Linked DNA regions of Oryctolagus cuniculus. The main gene of each other region encodes a partner of the protein of the gene in region 3 in a complex. Links are inferred from orthologs where the notes say so. Each region holds a gene or a part of one and is shown on either strand. Other genes may lie near its edges.

What was found. The genes of interacting proteins can lie anywhere in the genome.
Region 1: the proteins of GNAS (region 3) and HTR1A are in contact, whole or in part, in a cryo-EM structure (PDB 9GL2), measured with the Homo sapiens proteins. The link is inferred for Oryctolagus cuniculus from reciprocal best matches to the Homo sapiens genes GNAS and HTR1A. Residues at the interface, in NP_000507.1 of Homo sapiens: Ala39, Asp215, Lys216, Val217, Arg342, Arg347, Thr350, Ala351, Gly355, Tyr358, Phe376, Arg380, Asp381, Ile383, Gln384, Arg385, His387, Leu388, Arg389, Gln390, Tyr391, Glu392, Leu393, Leu394; in NP_000515.2 of Homo sapiens: Asn69, Ala71, Asp133, Arg134, Ala137, Ile138, Pro141, Ile142, Tyr144, Val145, Asn146, Arg148, Ile218, Ala222, Arg225, Ile226, Lys228, Thr229, Lys232, Val233, Asn325, Arg327, Asn328, Lys332, Arg339, Lys342, Thr343, Thr346, Leu347, Asn404.
Region 2: the proteins of GNAS (region 3) and GPR52 are in contact, whole or in part, in a cryo-EM structure (PDB 8HMP), measured with the Homo sapiens proteins. The link is inferred for Oryctolagus cuniculus from reciprocal best matches to the Homo sapiens genes GNAS and GPR52. Residues at the interface, in NP_000507.1 of Homo sapiens: Lys34, Gln35, Arg38, Ala39, His41, Lys216, Val217, Phe219, Tyr318, Pro321, Arg342, Asp343, Leu346, Arg347, Thr350, Ala351, Tyr358, Cys359, Pro361, Phe376, Cys379, Arg380, Asp381, Ile383, Gln384, Arg385, His387, Leu388, Gln390, Tyr391; in NP_005675.3 of Homo sapiens: Tyr74, Arg139, Ala142, Ile143, Thr144, Pro146, Leu147, Asn150, Gln151, Thr154, Pro155, Ile226, Phe227, Ile229, Cys230, His233, Thr234, Glu236, Ile237, Arg240, Arg243, Phe244, Ser246, His247, Tyr263, Ala264, Met265, Phe268, Arg269.
Region 4: the proteins of GNAS (region 3) and GPR4 are in contact, whole or in part, in a cryo-EM structure (PDB 8Z9O), measured with the Homo sapiens proteins. The link is inferred for Oryctolagus cuniculus from reciprocal best matches to the Homo sapiens genes GNAS and GPR4. Residues at the interface, in NP_000507.1 of Homo sapiens: Gln31, Lys34, Gln35, Arg38, His41, Asp215, Lys216, Val217, Tyr358, Tyr360, Phe376, Arg380, Asp381, Ile383, Gln384, Arg385, His387, Leu388, Gln390, Tyr391, Glu392, Leu393, Leu394; in NP_005273.1 of Homo sapiens: Gln45, Arg49, Asn50, Leu52, Asp114, Arg115, Ala118, Val119, Ala120, His121, Pro122, Leu123, Arg124, Arg129, Arg130, Lys132, Tyr201, Ile204, Ala207, Val208, Gly210, Ser211, Val212, Ser213, Thr214, Glu218, Lys221, Ile222, Leu225, Asn290.

The regions. Positions count from the first base shown.
Region 1 is NC_091445.1:84,850,523-84,854,567, forward strand, and holds HTR1A (5-hydroxytryptamine receptor 1A), read right to left. Parts: upstream 2,245-4,045; coding exon 976-2,244; downstream 1-975. UniProt on the Homo sapiens protein: G-protein coupled receptor for 5-hydroxytryptamine (serotonin). Also functions as a receptor for various drugs and psychoactive substances.
Region 2 is NC_091438.1:2,810,103-2,815,235, reverse strand, and holds GPR52 (G-protein coupled receptor 52), read right to left. Parts: upstream 3,276-5,133; 5' UTR 3,138-3,275; coding exon 2,052-3,137; 3' UTR 959-2,051; downstream 1-958.
Region 3 is NC_091442.1:3,426,355-3,430,602, reverse strand, and holds the start of GNAS (guanine nucleotide-binding protein G(s) subunit alpha isoforms XLas), read left to right. Parts: upstream 1-1,448; 5' UTR 1,449-1,463; coding exon 1,464-3,351; intron 3,352-4,248. UniProt on the Homo sapiens protein: Guanine nucleotide-binding proteins (G proteins) function as transducers in numerous signaling pathways controlled by G protein-coupled receptors (GPCRs).
Region 4 is NC_091449.1:11,334,675-11,339,897, forward strand, and holds the start of GPR4 (G-protein coupled receptor 4), read left to right. Parts: upstream 1-1,948; 5' UTR 1,949-1,954; coding exon 1,955-2,070; exon of another isoform or gene 2,071-3,378; intron 3,379-5,223. UniProt on the Homo sapiens protein: Proton-sensing G-protein coupled receptor activated by extracellular pH, which is required to monitor pH changes and generate adaptive reactions. Activated by an optimal pH of 6.8-7.2.

The DNA.
Region 1 (4,045 bases), on a different chromosome or scaffold from region 3:
GAAGTATGCGGTTCCCAGGCCTCGCCGCGCCCCAAGCGCGCACACCGCGGCCAGAGGGCGCCTCCCGCAGTAGCTAAGAGGCCACGCCTGCGTGTGCAGACTCGCCAGCAACCTATAAATTCCCAAGTCCACCTTCGTCGTTGCGTGATTGTCGGTTTCTTTGGTGAGTGCTGACACCCAGGTAAACACGGACAAAATGGTCCACACTCTGTCCTCGTTCTCCCCCACTGGCCCGGCCGCGTACTTACAAGTGCAATCTAAGACACACCTGCTGGGCCCTTGTTTGCAGTCCAAGAACACAGAGCAAGCAGGGACAGTGCACAGCAGTCTATACTGGGCGGCGGAGATCCCCAGGGCACCGCTGACACAGCGGAAAACAGACCTTCCCAGATTTCTGGACCAGAGGATCAGGGCATGCAAGGGACCAGACGCTTAAGGTCAGATAAGAAGGCCGGGGGGAGGAAGAGGAGAGGGAGACACACAGAGTGGATATTTCTAGGGGAAGAGGGCTGGAGAGATGGATCGAAATCCTTATCCTTAAATGCAAGCACTAGAAGCTCGGCGTCAGGTGGAAGCTGTTAGTGGACCCAGCAGCTGTAGGCAGTTTTTTGTTGTTATTGTTGCTGCTTGTTTAGTTTTCTAATTGGACTTTCTACCTTGAATACCTGGGGCTTAAGCTTCCACCTCGCAGATCCGGGGGACAGAATTTGAAGGCAGCAATTGCTGGAATCAAAAGTGCTGCTGAGGCCGCAGACTGAGACACCGTTGCTTCTCACAGACCTTGGGGCTTCTCTGCACACAGCGCTCTCCCTGGGAGCAGGGGCTTGGGAGGGGGCGACGTCTGGAAGCCTTGGGCGCAGCAGAAAAGTTCCAGGAAAAGTAGCAAGTTATCTTAGGCGATGGTTCCAGGGGCTGGGGGAGCAGGCTACATGGAGTGGGTCCTACAACCCCTACTCGCCGGCTACACCTTCAGCATCATCGGCGGCAGAACTTGCACTTGATAATCTTCTTAAACGCGTTTTGAAAGTCCTTGTTGAAGTAGGCATAAATGACAGGGTTGAGCAGAGAGTTGGAGTAGCCCAGCCAGTTGATGATGGCGCCCAACAGCGTGGGCATGTGGCAGCTGCTCTCGCAGAAGGGCAGGACCAGGGCCACTATGAAGAAGGGCAGCCAGCAGAGGATAAACGTGCCCATGATGATGCCCAGTGTCTTCACCGTCTTCCTCTCACGGGCCAGGGCCATTTTGCGCTTGGCTTCGGCATTGCGCTCATTTTTCCGCTCAAAGGAGGCAGGGGCACCGGCGGCGGCACCCGCCTCGCTAGGAAGCGGCAGGTGCTCCTTGGAGTTGCCCACCCGGTGCACCTCGATCACCTCCAGGGCGGCGCCATCGTCGCCCTGTCTCACCGCGCCGTTGGCGCACGCAAGCCCCACACCCTTGTTCTCCACGCCCTGCCTCCAGTCTCTGCTCCCTGGCTCTCCGTTCACGCTCTTTCTGGGTTGTGGGGCCGGCGAAGCTCCAAAACGGGTGTCTGCGCCTTTCTTCTCCACCTTCTTGACAGTTTTGCGGATGCGGAAGCGCGCGGCGCGAAAGATGCGCCCGTAGAGGACCAGCATGAGCAGCAGCGGGATATAGAAAGCGCCGAAAGTGGAGTAGATGGTGTAGCCGTGGTCCTTGCTGATGGTGCACGCGTCAGGGTCGGAGCGGTCTTCCGGGGTGCGCCAGCCCAGCATGGGCGGGATGGAGATGAGGAAGCCAATGAGCCAAGTGAGCGAGATGAGCGCGGCGGCACGCCGGGGCGTCCTCTTGTTCACGTAGTCGATGGGGTCCGTGATGGCCCAGTACCTGTCCAGTGCGATGGCGCACAGGTGCAGGATGGATGAAGTGCAGCACAGCACGTCGAGGGCGATGAACAGGTCGCAGGTGACCTGGCCCAGAGTCCACTTGTTGAGCACCTGGTACAGCGCGGCCATGGGGAGCACCAGCACGGACACCATGAGGTCGGTGACCGCCAGAGAGCCGATGAGATAGTTGGCCACGTTCTGGAGGGAGCGCTCCAGGGCGATGGCAGCCACCACGCACGCATTGCCCAGCACCGCGCAGAAGATGAGCGTGCCCAGCAGCAGGGAGGTGATTACTTGGTAGCTGAAGGTCACGTCGGAGATGCCAGTGGCGTTGCCGCCTGTCCCGAGGGGACCCTGGGACGACGTCGTGTTGTTGCCCCGGCCGGGACTGAGCACATCCATGCCTGCCTGCGCGCCCGGCGGGGGGAGGGGGAGGGGAGACGGAGCCGCGAGAGGATCCCCCTCGCCCCTCCCCCGGGGGTCTTCCGCCCCTTCTCCCGGGGAGCTTCCGAGGAAGGGGAGGCAGGGACTCCGGCGGGAAGTTCTTACTGCTCTGGCGAAGGCATCTCTCAGTAGCAGCTTGCAGGCGCTCGGTGCGCTCCCGCGGTCCAGGGCGCTCAGAGGCTCCAGCGGGGCAACTGGAGTTGGCCCGAGAGCAGCTGCGGAATCTGCGGGCGGCGCAGAGGTGGCTTGGGCGTCAGTCTCTCGCTGTCCATTTTACTTTGTCGCTGCCCAACTGGCTGCCGGAGCCGGAGTCTCCCCACTAGCAAACAGTCTCCAATCCCAGAAGTATCTGGAATAGAGGAGCCCCATCGTCCCAGGCGCTGGCTCTGTGACCCTCCCTCCTGCGTCCCTCTCTGCCTCCCTCTCACTCTCTCCTCCCTTCTCTTCTGGGTCCCTTCAGCCTCCTCCTCCTCCCTTCTCCCCGCTACCTTCCTTTTCGGCCTCCCTCCTCCCTCTCACCTCCTTTTCTTTATCCCTGTGTGTCGCTCCACAGCCGGTCTCCCTCCCTCCCACGCTAGCCCTCCCCTCCGAAAACCTCCCCAACCTGGGCGCCTTTTCCCTCTGGGTCCCCGCCCTCCTCTCCTTCTATCCCGGCGTCCTTTCACTGACTCCCTTTCTGCCAACAGAGACTCAGAATTCGTTTGCACACACCCTATCCGCCAGACCAGCGTTGTAACAAGTAAACTCCGCCCCCCACCCAGCCAAACTCGAGAGGAGGAAAAACTCTCCCCCCCCCCCTTCTAACTATCCATTGCCTCTTATCTCTGTCAAATCCTTAAAATCAGCACCACAGCGTGGCTGTAGGATATAAGGCAAAGGGATACACGACGCCGGAGAGGAAAGGTGGACAGCCCCAGGTCCCTCTGTAAATGATCCTTACTTGATTAAAAGACGGAGTGTGTCCTAGCTGTTTAAAAGTCACCTCCTTCCATCCTCTAATAGTCCAGCCTGACTCCTTACGGACGAATGGTGCCTATGACTCCCTTCTCTTTTTTAACGTTGGGGAATTAAGGGAGAACGGAATTATAAAAGTCATGTTAAAATACAAGGACAGGCAAACAGCTGTGAGGGGAGGAATCACACCTCGGTATGTATTCTACACACAAGCCCACACAATTTTCTGTCACTATTGTCCTTTTAATTTTAGTGAATGCTGCCACGTCTGATAGTTTTGAAGTGGGAAAATTCAGAGCAGGAAACATTTTGCCTATTTGTTGGAAATGACGTCCTGTATTCCATCGGGACTTTTTCACTTTTAACTGAAGCCCGCAAACCTGTACGGCGAACTTGGAATCCCCGGTGGCTAGCCCCTGAGCTTCTCTCAATAGCTGAAACTGGTTCAGCACCTGGGACAGCTCAACGCAATAAGGGCTTATGTCGCCACCTGCCGGCGAGTGCTTTAGAGAGCCTTGTAGAAACAATTGTAGAAATGAAGCAGATATCGTGGAACTACCATAACTTCAAGAAAGAGGAAGATGATTATTAAAAGAAAAAAGAGCACCGGGTTTTGTTTCATTCTATTGTGTTCTTTATTCCTCTTAACCTTCTATAGCAGGCTCTGAAATGTTCTAGCTGTTTTAAAAAGTCTGTCGCACCTGGCATTCACAAATTCTACCTGGGGGGGGGGGGGGGGGGACTTTACCTCTGTTGGTTTGGTTTTCTCCTGCCGTGGCCTCCACTTTGGAATTCTCATAGTTTA
Region 2 (5,133 bases), on a different chromosome or scaffold from region 3:
CTTGAAGAGTTAGCAGGTCTGTGTTTCCTTGAACCTTGTTTTCCTTGCACAGGTTTAAATTTAAAAGCAACAATTCGACTCACCCAAGATGGTACAGGCAAACAAAGGACAAGAGTCAATATAAACCCACACTACAGAAGTCTAAGACAAGTAGATTTTAATTCCCAAACAAGTAAAGTCTTGTTCTAAACAAGCATTTAATTAAACAGAAGCAAAGCCTGATTTTGATATAGAATACTAGTTTACTCTTTATTTAAACCTTTCTTACATGTTGAAAATAGCCAGAGGTTCAGAACAACAGTATTTTCACAAAAGGTCTCCAAAATCGAACCACCAATGTGCAAACAGAGCTGGCTGCTAACTTGAGGTCATAGGCACGTTTCATTAAATGCACTTCATACAACAAGGAAATCAAAAAATGCTGAGAAGAAAAATGCTCAGTATTTTGATAGAAATTTTAAAATATCTTCAGGCAGGAAACTCTCAGTAAAAATAAAAAAAGATTTAGATATTTTACTGTTCATACCTGCTTCACAACTAATTCTCCAAATGTCTTCTCACCTCACCTAAACCCCTAACAATATACTACACCGTCCCATATAGCACACTAAAAATAAGTTAATCTCTGCATCTGAAAACAGATCGTTACAAAAGAAAATACTGACAGCTCTTACCTGTATGTAATAACTAAGTACATTATAATCTCAGCAGCACTAAGGATGCAGCTTTGTCTAATATAAATATCTAAATAATATCTACACAAAAGTATTTTTCTCTTAAAATAAGTTTTTGTATATATTTTTCCCAATGTTGACAACTGAAGCAACATTGATCTATATATTGTGCTAAGAAAACATTAGGCACAGATCACATAATATATTTTATATTTTCTTTGTTGTAAAAAATATAGTATGTGCAAGCTCCTATCACATAAAGGACTAGGGAATATAACAGGAAGTTATTGGAGACCTAACACAGAAAGGTTAACATTTTACTTTTTTTTTTTTTTTTAAAGAACATTCCAAGTGGCATTAAGAGTAACAACTTACTGCTTGGTGAACACCCAGACTCTGCATTAAAATCACTGGTGGGTTTTTTTAAAGAAAAACCAAGGTGTACCACAGCAAAATGACACTGCATTAGACACATGAATTAATTTAAAAGGAATCATATAAAAATATTTCCAAAGCCATTTAAAATATATAACACAATCTCTCCAACAGGCTACTACTAGATTGCTTCGTTGAAAGGAATAAATTATTTCACATTATGATTGTTTTTTGCAGTAGCTTCCTTTATTAGCTAAGCCAGTTCCGGGAGTAAATTATAAAAAGGATGCAGATCAAGAAAAATGGAGAGAGGAAAAAAAAGTAGGTTGTTAAGAAGAGGGGGAAAAAAGCAAATGCCACTTTACCTAGAAGAAACTAAAGTACTGTTTGCTTTTGTTTGTAGCAGGAAATTTCTGCAGCAAAGATTACAAAAACATAAACTAAAGGGTCCTGTGGCAAGTAATAAAAAACACTACTGCAGATCCTCCAAGAAGAGACCACTTAGGGATTATAATTAGTGTGCTTAAAAATACACTTTGATGCAAAGGTTATACTTTGCCACATATATAATATGTAGCATTTTTCTATAAGGGGCAATTTAGCTAAGTGACAACTTTTATAAACACAGAGAGTCAAAGAAATGGAGAGCCACAAAATCAGAGACAGACAGACAGGCAGAGAATACAGACAGGGAGACAGAGACATCCAGGGGGCTTGCTCCTGTCCTAGACAAGAACTGAGACACCTTTTTCATCCTCAGCACTTAATTTTCCTTAATACTGTACATTTATACTCACACACTATAATTATCTCTTTAAGTTACCGTCTATACATCTTTCCTTTAGTTTTTTCCATGGGGGGGGGTGAGAAACCTTTAGTTTCATCCTTCATTTCACAGTCAACTATTCAAGTAAGTGTTTCTCTGGTGGCAATTTCCAGATGAATCAAGAATACAATCCAGAATCACTGTCAGGCTGCATGTGATTGTCTGTGTGGCTCTCCTCAAATGGAGCAGGAATTAGCCCGTTTCCTAGGCTTGGGGTCTCGTGCTTCCTGACCGTCCACACACATACAAGACGTGCACATTGTCTGGGACAGTCTGCGGAGGCCAAGCCGGAAAACGCTGTTGGAGAGGCTGTAGATCACACAGTTACAGAAACTGTTACTTATAGCCAGCCAGGTCGTTAAGAACGACAATGTCGGACTGTCCAAGACTCGGGAGCTTTCCAGAAGAAAGTAAATGATATAAGGGAGCCACAGCATGTAAAACACACTGGTTATCCTAAACAAAACCATGGCGTAGCGGCGGTCAGGACTGTGTCCAGTCTCTCTAGAGGCGTCTACCTCATGGCTAGGGAACCGGGCTCTTCGGTCACTGATCTCTTTGGTGTGCTGCCGGCAGATTTTGAAAATGTGGAAGTAAGTGAAGCAGACAACAAAGGCAGCAGGAGCATAAAGTAAACAAACAATGAAGCCAGTGAAATAGGCACTCGTGAGCCAAGAGGTGGCACACCACTCAAAAATGTCACCATGGTAACCAGGTTTCCCCCAGCCGAAAAAGGAAGGCAAGAAGATCAGGCAGGAGTAGAGCCAGATCAAAATAATGCAAATCCTCAGGCGACAAGGAGTGACCAGCTGATTGTAGGACAGAGGCTTGGTTATTGCAAGATAGCGATCCACACTGATGCAAGCCAGACAAGCCATGGAAACACTTTTCAGAACGGAAATGATATATCCAAAAATCTGGCAAGTCAACGACTCGTGGACACCTGTGGAGTAGTGGAGAAGTGAGAGAGTGGGAACCAGGCAGCTAACTCCAACGAAAAGATCAGCGTACGCCATTGTTTGAATGAAATAGCTGGTAGTATAGTGGTGTAGGAGTGGAGCACAGTGAAAGACAAAGATGACTGTGAGATTTCCAGCAATGATCAGAAATGTCAGCAAGACAATCACGGCCGTCTCAAAGATGCAGACATCCACCGCGCTGTAGTGGCCAAATCCAAGCGGGCAGGAGTGATGCTCGGACACGTTCACAATGCCACTGCTCATGTTCACGATCCGCCAGTCAGTCCACTTAGAATCATTCATGGCTTGAATCAGGGGAACCCGCAGTCTTGGCTGCGCCAAGCAAGTGCCCTGCCCAGCATCTGTTCCACTCTGCACACAAGTGGCTCAGAACCTGCTGCAGTAGACAGTGTCAGAGCTTCTGTCACAGCTGAGTGTCCCAAAGAGTGCTCCAGTCTCCTCCTCTGCCTCAGTTCAGCAGTGACACACCTCAGCTTTGGGGGGAAGAGGAGGAGGGGAGTTAGCTAGAAAGGAGGTGAAAACAGGTCACCGATTAGCTCCTTCCAGTGCTCGCAAACAACTTTGTGCAGATACAAGGCACGTCTAGAGAAAAGCATGTCTTCCTACCCTGCACTGTGAAAAATGACATCTGTAAAAAGAAGGCAAGCACGCACAGACACGATGGCCAGGGGAGACAGAGCTTCTGTGGTCCTTCGTCCTCCTGAAAGAGGTACTACTGTCCTAGAGATCAACTAGGAAGAATGAGAAAAGAAAGTCTTAAATTGTCTCGGGCTTCCTGCTTCACTTAGGAAAAACCATTCAAATCTTAGAATTTAAATAATTAAGAGCTCACATTTGGTTGGGAGGAAAAGAAACAGTTCATTGTGGCAAAGAGTATCTTTGGGCTCAGTTCAGGATTTGCTGCTGGTAGGTCAACTTTATAGTCCACGTTTCTCTCATTTTTTAAAAAAATTAAGAAAACACCTTATTAAGGTCAATTTCAAAGATTTATCTTTCTGTGGGCACAAAGAGCAGAATAGGTTTCACAAACAGACTCCAGACTGCCCTGTAACTTTTGTGAGAAAAAAAGTGTGTTTTCAATAGGGAAGAAAATATACAACAATTAACAAATGACAAATTATGAACTTCTAAAGTTTTAATTCTGCATACTTTTTTAAGCATTTAGATACAAACAATTTCAGCCCATTATAGATACCAATGCTCCTACCACCAATGTAATTTATACCTCTTCCCTTTCAAAATAAAAATAAATACTTTTTGCCATCAATTCCAACAGTTACAAGTATAACTGAAAATAACTTGCATTAATTGATATGCCTCTTTCCATTTAGTGAAACATAATAAAACAGATAGCTCAGTTAATTTTCACCTTTGCAAGCATACCTATACCTCACATGTATGTAAACATTTACGAAATTTAGACAGTAGCATAAACTTTCCTATATGCTCTGAGCTTAGATTAGAAATAACGTCATTATTAATGACAGGTATTTCTAGTAGGCTTTATACTCTATTTTGCTATACCTTTTCAATTGTCATTAGATGATTAACACTAAATCATTTCTTCAGCAAGATCTTCTGAAAGTGGAAAATAACCATATTTACTATATTTGCAGTTATGAAGCACCCATATGCTAAGAAATGTCTCTTCTATTTCTGTGTTCTCCTTTGAGCAAATGCTCAATTGATATAGGGGCCATTAGGTAGGAAGCTACAATACAGTCTTGTATTAGAATACCCCCAATGCATCAAGATGAGTTTACATCCTAATGTTTGAAATACGGAAAGACTGGCAGGATAAAATCCATCCAAAACGGCTTCCAAGGTCATTCTGCTACCAGGTGAACGTTTGCAAAGTCTTTTAAAGCTCGGGCATCTCAGACAGCACCTTGTCCATCTGTGCTCGCATACCTTTTGAAGAAACAGCATGCACTAGAAATAAAAGCACTTCCTTCAGGAACAAGGCAGCAGCTTAGCAGAAAGCATTCTTCTCAAAGTTATTTTCTGGTGCAACACCAAGCCATTCGGTGAGGTCCTTCTTCTTTTAAAATAGCCACAGGGTATTCTTCCTGCAAATTCCTAATTTCACTTATCACAAAAGAGTCCTCTTGTTACCGGAATAAGGTGATGCTTCTCACCTACATTCACTCTTACCAGCTGCCAGGCTGGGCTGCTTGACACGGAAGTCCGATTTACTGGGATGCAGCTAGCAGGATGCTGTCGGCATCTTCTTCAGTCTCTCAGTATCACTGCCTCCACCTGAGCCCGGCCCCGCTGC
Region 3 (4,248 bases):
GAGCGAGCAGCCGCCGGGCTTGGTGGCTGCGCTTGCCGCAGCTTCTGCGGGCTAGCAGCGGAAAAGTAAAGCGACTGCCTGGGGACGGTCCTGGCGTGGCGCTGGGGGCTGCGGGATGACGGACCCGCCCTGCGGCCGGGGCCGGAGGCAGATGCCGCGCGCCTCGGCTGCTGTTGGTGCGGTGTTTGCGGGTTCCGCGCGCACGGGGTTGTGCGGTCTCCGAGACCACCCCCAAACCAGCCATAAACCCCGCAGCCGAAATCTTCCCCAGAGCGGAAGGATGTGTGGCGCTCTGAGACCTGCGCCCCGTGGGGCTCGGCTCCCCAGCGTGTCCCGCGACCCCCATTCCGTGCCGCCGCGGCCGCTACACTGCGGGGAGGCGGGGGGCTTGGCTTGGTTCTCCATGGTGCAGTCAGGAGACCCCCATATTGCGTCGCATCATTGTCCACAAAAACAGAGGGACCCCTTACTGCGCCGCCCACGGCCACTGCGGAGACCCCAGGAGCCACGGGGGTGGGCGATGCTAAAGTGCCTCGCCACGGCGGACCGCGGCAAGTGTACCCAAGGCGTTTTACAAAACAAACTGTGCGCTCGCTCTCGACAGCCCCCCTCGCTCCTCATCCTCCTCCCTGCCCTTCCGGTGGGCTCACGACCACCTGTCGCATTCCCGCGCGCGCACGCCACTGTCCCCGGGCATCTAGAGCCTTACGCTTGGCTCGAGATCTGGGGCTAGGGGCTTCGGCGCAGGGGTGCAGGGGTATCCTGGGGTGAAGGAAGAAAAAGAAAGCCCTCTGCAGTCCCCCGCCCCCCGAGGAGAGTCGGCGCGGGCGGGGAGGGAGCGATTCTGCTCCTGTTCTCCAGCATCCCGAGGCCCACGTCTTGTGTCACGTGTCTCGCTCGCAACGCAGGAGAGCTTTGTGTGGCCAAGGGGAGAAGCGAGGAGAAAGGCTCCAAATCAGTCAGGGAGAGGCGTGGAAGGAGCCCAAACGTCCCTGCGAGGCCTGCGCTCGCCAGCCCCTTACCCAAAGCCGGGCCGGCGGTGCAGGGAACCAGCTTGGCACCGGGACCTGCGTCCTCTGGTGGCAGAGAGAGCGCGCGACTGGCGATTTTCGGACCGAATCGGCACGCTCCTCAAATCCAAGCAGTCTGTGTTGGCCTGGAGCAGAGAGAGAGAGAGAGAGAGAGAGAGAGAGAGGAGGGGACGAAGGCCGAGCAGGCCGGGTGGGGGCCTGAGGGAATCACCAGTGGCCAGGAAGGAGCCAAGACTTCACCAGCCAGAACTGCACTGCCTTGGCCATGGTCTGGGGTTCTAGGCCCTGAGTGCGCTCGGGAAGTGAGGCCGCAGAACTTCCCAGCTGGTACTTTTTTCTTTCTTCCTTTCAAATAATTTTTTTCACCCTAGTTCGGTTGGGTGCTCCGTCTCACGGAGCCCCCACATCATTGTAAGAGGCCGCCACCGTGTTATGGGCCTGCGCTACTGCCTCGACGGCAATAATATGTCAGGACAACGCCATCTCCCCCCTGAAGTCGGGGAGCAGCCTCCACAGCCAGCCTTGGAGGCCCCAGGGCCAGCTGCCCCCGGTGCTGGGCCTGGCCCAGCCGAAGAGATGGAGACCCAGCCGCCTGCCAGCGAGCCCGTCCCCGCACAGGCTGGCGCCGAGGCCTGTGAACCCCCTGAGGTCTCCGGGGGCACCCTGGAGGGCCTCGCCGTGGCAGCTGACCAGGAATTCGGAGGCGATGGAGGCTACAGCCCACCTCCCGAGGAAGCCATGCCTTTTGAGGTCCAGCAGCCCAGCGTGGGAGGCTTCTGGCCCACCCCAGGGCCCATCGCAGGCCTCGAGGCCTCTGTGGATCCCGGAGTCTCGGGCAGTGCCGGGCCTGGCCTGGGAGGCTACAGCCCCCCACCAGAAGAAGCCATGCCCTTTGAGTTCGAGGAGCCTGCTGGCCAGGGAGGCTGCAGCCAGCCAGCATCGGGGGTCCCCGACCTCGCTCCCGGTGGCACAGACCTGGGGGTCCCTGGAGCTCCTCCCGGGAAGTCCGGGGCGCTCAGGCCTGCCAGCGCTGGCCTTGGAGGAGGCTATAGCCCTCCCCCCGAGGAGGCTATGCCATTTCAGCTTGATGGAGAGGCCTTTGGGGACGACAGCCCACCCCCCGGGCTCCCCCGAGCGCTCCCACAAGTTGCCAACGGCGACGGTGGCAGCAGCGCGGCAATCGCGGTCCCGAGTGCGGTCTGCCTCGCTCCCGCCACCGACGCGCCACCCCTCTGGGTCCCAGAGGCTGTCAGAGCTGCTGCTAACTTCGCGGGCGCCAGCCCCCCGATGGAGATCGCCGGACCCCCGCTCGAGATGCGCAGCGCCCCCGTCGGGGTCGACGACGCTCCCGTCAGCATGGACAGCCCCCCAATCGCGAGTGATGGCCCGCCCATCAAGGTCTCCGGAGCCCCAGATAAGAGGGAGCGCGGCGAGAGACCCCCAGTTGAGGGTGAAGCAGCCGAGATGGAAGGAGGCTCGGTCAGCGCCTCTGCGGAGAAAGGAGAAGTCCCCTCTCCGGGGGACGGAGCCTCGGGCGCCCCAGCTGGGGCCGCTCCCGCCGCCGGAGCCGCTCCCGCCGCCCCGGCGGAGCCCGAAGCCGGGGGAGCCCCGGCCGCTCCTGGCACTGCGGCCGCCGGGGCAGCCCCGGCCGATGCCGAAGCCGACGCCGACACCCGCGCAGCCCCCGGCGCCGCAGCCGCTCCTGATGCCGGGGCAGCCCCTGCCGCCGGTGGAGCCCCTGGTGCCCCGGCCGAGCACGCCGCAGCCGCCGGGGCCCCCCAGGCAGCCCCCGCCGCGCCTGCCTCCGGGGCCAGACGCAGGCTCCATCTGCTCAGACCCCCCAGCCCCGAGATCCAGGCTGCTGACCCGCCTACTCCGCGGCCTGCTCGCGCGGCTGCCTGGCGGGGCAGAGCTGAGCGCGGCCGAAGCCGCCGCCGCTACGACGACGAGGGGTCGACCAGCGGCGACGCCGACTCCTCCAGCGGGGACGAGTCCGAAGAGCGGGCCGCCGGCTGCTTCCACTGGTTCCAGCGCCGCACACGCCGCCGCCGCAAGCCCCGGCGCAACTTGCTCCGCAACTTCCTCGTGCAGGCTTTCGGGGGCTGCTTCGGTGGTCGATCTGAGAGCCCCCAGCCCAAGCCCGCGAGCCCCAGCAAGGCCAAGAAGGTTTCTCTGGCAGAGAAGCGCCGACAGATGCGCAGGGAGGCCATGGAGAAGCGCGCCCAGAAGCGCGCCGAGAAGAAACGCAGCAGGCTCATCGACAAGCAGCTGCAGGCCGAGAAGATGGGCTACATGTGCACTCACCGCCTGCTGCTTCTAGGTAACGCGGCGGCGGACTCTGCCCAGGGGCAGCAGCCCCGCCGGGGACCGGGGAGGGGGCGCGGGGCGCGGGGCTCGGCCGCGGGAGGAGGGGGCACGGCCAGGAAGTTCCACGGAGGGACCCTAACTTTGCCCCGGGCGCGGGAGGGGAGCTGGGGCGGGTTCGGGTGGCCGAGGTGTGTGCCCTCCAGGGAGAAAAGTGGTGCCGAGCGACACTGAGGGTCGTTTCCGGCTGGACAGGCCAGCGCCAGCGACCGTAAGCTGGACAGGCGGGGGCTTCAGGTGAGCCGGGAACTGCCGGAAAGGGGCGCCCACTCTCCGCCGGCTTAGGTTTGTTGGGGCCGCGGTGGGCTAGGGCCATCGGGGAAGGCGCGCCCCCGCCTCGCCTGGCACGGCTTGTTCTCGGCCAGCTTGTCGTTGGTGTGTGTCGGTGTGCGTATTCTCTGTGTCCGCCTGTGCATGACACGCTCAAGTGTTCCCCATCCCCGGCAACCCCCCCATCCCCGGATTACCCGCCGACCGTGTACTTGTACTTGGGGACGGGCTGTCGTGATGCGCGCCATGGCGCGGGCTGAAACTTTGCGCGTCTGCACACTCGTATGACACCTGTGCGCCGGCACTCCGCGGCGGAACCCGGCTGGGCCACCGGCCCGGGGGGGCGCCTCGGTAACCTTGTTCCTCTGTGTCTTTCTCTCTTTCTCCCTGTGCGCTAAGTGTTTCCTCACTTCTCATTCGTTCGCCAAACCCTCCCGCCTTTACAGTTGAAAAACCAGACACGCAGCACAGGTATCTGGGGCATTGGGGCTGCACACTGGATTTCAGCATTGCGCACAAGCACACTCACCTGGAGGGGGATGGGAAGTGGCTGGGGTGGGGGATGGAGGACATCTAGCCTGCT
Region 4 (5,223 bases), on a different chromosome or scaffold from region 3:
ATCTTCCTCCCCTCCCAAATCCTCACCCCAGACCTTCCCTGGGGGCCGGGAAGCTGCTTAGGAGTGGGGGCAGGGGGCAGTGGGATGGCGACCTGGAGCAGGTGGTCTCAGCGCCCCCTGCCCGGGTCACCCGCTGCTCCTGAGGTCCCTCGCACCCCACCGTTAGGTTTCAGGAATTCCTGGCTGGGGGGGGGGGGTGGACTTCCTCCCCCACTTCCTTCCAAAATTTGGCCGGTCACCGTTAACTCCTTCCTGCCTTGTCCTCACCCCCCCACACACACTTCACTTGCACACACGCACACACGCACACACGTGTGTACCGGCTGAGCAGTTTCTGTGAAGCGTGGGGTGTGTGTGCATGCGTGTGTGTGTGTGTGTGTGTGTGTGAGAGAGAGAGAGAGAGAGAGAGAGATGGATGGTGGGATGCAAGTTGGATTCTCCCCGTGCCCCCTGAGCCCGTGGAGGGAGCCTCCCACCCAGCCCTGTCTCCGTGGAGGAGGTTTAGGGTGAGGAGGGGCTGGGGGGCCGTGGAGAGCCCCCTGAACCCTTGCACCTGAGCACCTTAGGATGGCAGGATCCGGAGGCTGGTGCGCTCACCGGGCAGGACTGGAAACCCCAGATCCTGTAGGCAGCTGGGTGCTCCTTCCGTCCAGAAGCGCCAGCCTGGAAGTCTTGGCTGTTCTCAGCTTGGAGCTCCAGCTGGGCTGGGGAGCTGCGTAAGCCACACACACCCCCCAGCGGGTGACAGGTGGGGAAACCGAGGCACACTGCCAGTCAGAGAGCCAGGCTCCCCCCCCACACCGCCCTGCCCTGGGGAAGGGGAGCTTCAGGACCCCAAATCCAGAGTGCTGGCCTCCTTTGCTGCCGCTGCCTAGACTTGCTTTGGGGGATCCGGCTTGGCTGCCAGGGAGCGAGGGGTGGGTGCCTGGCGAGAATCCAGAAGGGAGGGTGCAGAGCAAATATTTCTGGAACCTTGCTGCCGAGGTGGGGGCGGGGTGTGTGTGGGTGGGTGGTGGGTGGGTGGGGACTGTTGGTGGGGGTGGAATGGGCGGAGCTTCAGAGGAGGGGGGAGAGAGAAGAGTGCGGGGGAGCGGGGTTTGACACCCGCACCCCCCCACCCTCCCCAGGAAGCCCACTGTTCCCTTGGGACACGGCCTGTAATTTGGTTTGTGTCTAGACAAATAATAACGCGGCCGGTGTGAGCCAGGAGAGCTGGGGCCCCGGCGGAGCTAGGGCTGGGGAAGCAGCCGGGGTGTCTGATGTCCCCTCCCTCCCCAGGTGGTGGGAATCCGGGGTGCAGGTGGCGGGGGCGCCCAGCCGCCCCCTGTCCCCGCCGCCAGGTCTCAGGACTCTGCTCCACCTTGGAAACCGGGCTGCAGGAATTGGAGATGAGAGCAGGTCTCGGGAACAGAGAGCGAGCGAGGGGGGCGCGCCCCGATTCTGTAGAAAAAGGGAAATGCGTGTTTGCGGGGCAGAGATAAAAATCAGTGAGGTTTAATAATAGATCCAGAAAGTCATGGAGTGTTCAAACAAAAAAAAAATCATAGAGCATTCTAACAATAGAACCGGAGAGTCCTGGAATGTGAGACTTTGGAGTATTGAAAACACAGAAGGTTATGCACTTCCAAAGCCCGGGTGGCCACAATAGCAGCACGGAGGGGAGGGAAGGTCTAGAATGCTACAGAACGTTCTATCCTGCAGAACTGGACCGACTATAGAACCTGGAAACGCCTGGAATGTAGAACATCAGGCGGGCACAGGCTGAGGACCCCAGTGTCCCTCTGGGGCAGCGTGGGCAAGGGGGTGGTGGAGACCCATCCCCTCCCCGGGGGTAGAAGTGGGGAAACTGAGGCCCGCAGGGCGGCCAGGGTGGCCTCGCTGCCCCTGGTTTCCGCCGGCTGCCAGGGCAGCAGGTGGGGAGCGCTGGCGGGGCGGTGATCACATTTCATCCCTAATGAACAGACCGGCGCTGGCTGGTCCCCTGGGGCCGCTGGGGAGGGGGCAGCCAGAGCCCACAGAGAGGGGGGAAGGGAGACCACCTGGTGGCTTCAGGCACAGGCCAGCCGGCCGGTGAGTGAGCTGGGGGTGTGGGGTCTGCATCGCTTCCCCCTCTTGTCCTCTCAACCTCCTCCCCCCGCCGTGAGTCCCTCAGCCTTGCTGATCTGGGGGTACCTGCCGGTGCCTAGGGACTTATCTGAGCTGGAGCAGCGGGGGGCCTGCAGAGAGGCGAGGGCTGAACAGTATCTGCCCTTCCTCACCATCGCTTCACACCAGGGCTTATCTCTCTTCCCTGCCCTCTGCAAGGGGCCAGCACCGACCTCAGGGAGGGGGTGGGGGCGGGACCTGCAAGAGGCAGCAGGAACCGACCGCTGACCGCAGGACCTGGGAGACAGGGAGAGCTTCCTGTTGGCTGCCAGATTTGGGGGTTCGCCCCAACAAAGCCCCAGTAAGGAAGTCAGCTTAGAGCCTAACGGCAGAAGGTCCTGCCCCAGGGGCTGGCGGGGGAGGCCAGGGGACGGAGGGACACTGGGTCACTTGCTCTGCTTGTGGTGGCAAGGCCTGCGTTGGCCAGCACGTTCTCACGGGGCCCCCAGAAAGCCGTGGGGGGAAAGAATGGGAGTGCGGGAGGTGGGGAGAAAAGCCGCTGAGGGAGGGGGAGTCTGGGGCTCAGAGGCCACGGCCCCGTCACATGGTATGACTTAGGCAGCTGCTTTGCCGATCGGTTACCCCCGCTGTACCGGGGGAAGGGTCAGACATCGCCTGGCATAATGGCTTTGTAAAGGGCTGACATTCCTTGTCGGCTGCTGGGGGCTCAGTGCCGGGCAGATCTCAGGTTGAGAAGAAGAGGGAGTTGGCAGGGTGCCCTTCCCCCACGCCCAGCATCCCTAAGCAGCAGGTGCACTGGGGGGGGGCGGGGGGAAGGGGCGGGGCTGCGCTGGCTCCCCTGGAGGAAGTTAGCTGTGGGAAGTGTTACTTCCTCTGCCTGGTGTGTACCTGCTCCAGCCGCGCCACAACCCAGGGGACACACGGAGAGGGGTGGGGCGGACGTGATGGCCGGGCCCAGTGCTGGTCTCGGCTCTCCAGGGCCTGCTCATGGGACCACTGTCCAGACACTGCACGTGCGACCAGGGCCTCCGCGGTCTGCGCCCGGTAAAGGTTGTGTGCCCTCCCACGGGAGGGGCAGCTGAGGCCCCGCATCCCAGGAACGAGGAGGGAGAGACCAAGAGGCTATAGAGTGCTGGGGCCCGGAACCAAGTGGAGGAGGATGGGGAGGGGTTCAGCGGGGAGGGGCCGGAGGTGTTTGGAGGTCTGGGCTTGAAGGCAGGGGTCACACACCACCTCACTCTTCCATCGCCAGGACCCGGAGGCCACTGTGGGGTGGGGGTGGGGTGGGGGCGGGGAGCCAGCTGCAGCTGTGTCTGAGGACCCTGCAGCGGGTAGGCGGGGCTTACTGAGGGGGCCTGCCCTGCCCTTTCAAAGTCAGTTATGAAGCGGGGCACATCCTGCAGCCTGCCTCGGCTGCTTCTTTCCTCCGGGGGAGGGGGTCGGGCTGCCCAGTGCTGCCCCTATCCCGGGCCTCTGGCCTCTGCCCTCAATGGCTTCTGTGCATGGTCATTTATTGAACGCCTACTGTATGCTGAGGATTCTGCTGAAGGACCTGAGTGGCCGTTGGGAAAAGCAGAGACGGTACTGCTGCACAGGGCCAGGGCGGAGGGTGGCAGGGGCTCCTGGGACAGGTGCGGGACCCAGGGCTCAGTGTGGAGGTGGAGCGGGGAGGAGACTGGTGTCTGGGGGCTCCCCAGGGACCCCTGTTGTGACCGGAGGCTCATCCCTGTGCCTCTCTGTCCAGCAGACTGAGCCACTGGTTTCTAGCGTTGTGTCCTGCAGGTTCTTTTAATTTTCATTTTATTTGAAAGGCAGAGGGGTTGGCGCTGTGGCGTAGCAGGTAAAGCTGCTGCCTGCAGTGCCGGCATCCATATGGGCGCTGGTTCAAGTCCTGGCTGCTCCACTTCCGATCCATCTCTCTGCTATGGCCTGGGAAAGCAGTGGAGGATGGCCCAAGTGCTTGGGCCCCTGCATTCGTGTGGGAGACCCGGAAGAAGCTCCTGGCTCCTGGCTTCGGATCGGCCCAGCTCCGGCCGTTGAGGCCAATTGGGGAGTGAACCAGCAGATGGGCGACCTCTCTCTCTCTCTCTCTAACTCTGACTTTCAAGTAAATAAATAAATCTTAAAAAAAAAATTAAAAAAAGGCAGAGAGACAGACACAGAGAGAGATCTTCATCCACTGGTTTGCACCCCAAATGCCCACAACAGCCAGGGCTGGGCCAGGTCGAAGCCAGGAGCCGGGCACTCCATCCGGGTCTCCCACGTGAGTGCAGGGGCCCAAGTGCGTGAGCCCTCACCTGCTGCCTCCCAGCAGGGACCCAGAGCTGGGACTCCCTCCAGTCTCGGCCACTGTCTCTGCTCAGCGCCCGCCCTCCCCACCCCCTCTCCCTCAGAGCGCAGGGCGCCTTCCCCTTATTGCCCTCAGCCTGGGTTTCCAGTTAAGATCTTGTTTTAAAAAACAGAGAAAAAGATTTCCCATCCACTGAAAACCAAGCGGGCATGGCTGTGCGGGAGCCTGTGCCGCGGGGTTCGCTGCCCCTCCCTCTGGGGCTGACCGCAGTCGGGGTCTCGGCCCCTGCCTGTCCTCAGAGCTCTGCTTGTAGTTCTCCCCCGACCACGGGTGCCAGGCCCAGGGTTCTGTCCGCGAGGCTGGAGGGGGAGAGGAGGCCCCTCCCTGCTCCTCTGTCCCTCCTCGGCTGCCAGCCCACGGCTCCTCTGGACACAAGCAGGGCGCAGGCTGGAGCGGTCCCCTCCGCCCATCAGCACCCTGGACAGGTCCTGGCCTCAGTTTGTCAAATGGGGCCTCTCCTCTCCTCTTTATGGGATTCTGCAAGGTGCTCATGGGATGATGCCCACCCAGGTGCTGGGAACGGGGTCTGCCAGGGCTGGCGCACGGGGGCCGGAGCATCGCCCTCATCTCCCTGTTGGGAGTGGGGTGCCCTCACACGGCACCCCACAGGCATGTTGGCTATCATGCACCAGCTGAGAACAAAGCAAGGCTGTTTGACGTTGAAGATACAAATGGGTCCCGGCACCAGCCCTGCTGTGTCCCACAGTTGGTGGTGGGGGGGGGGGCGGGGGGTTGTACCGACCTCGCTAGACCCTGCCTGGTCTTGG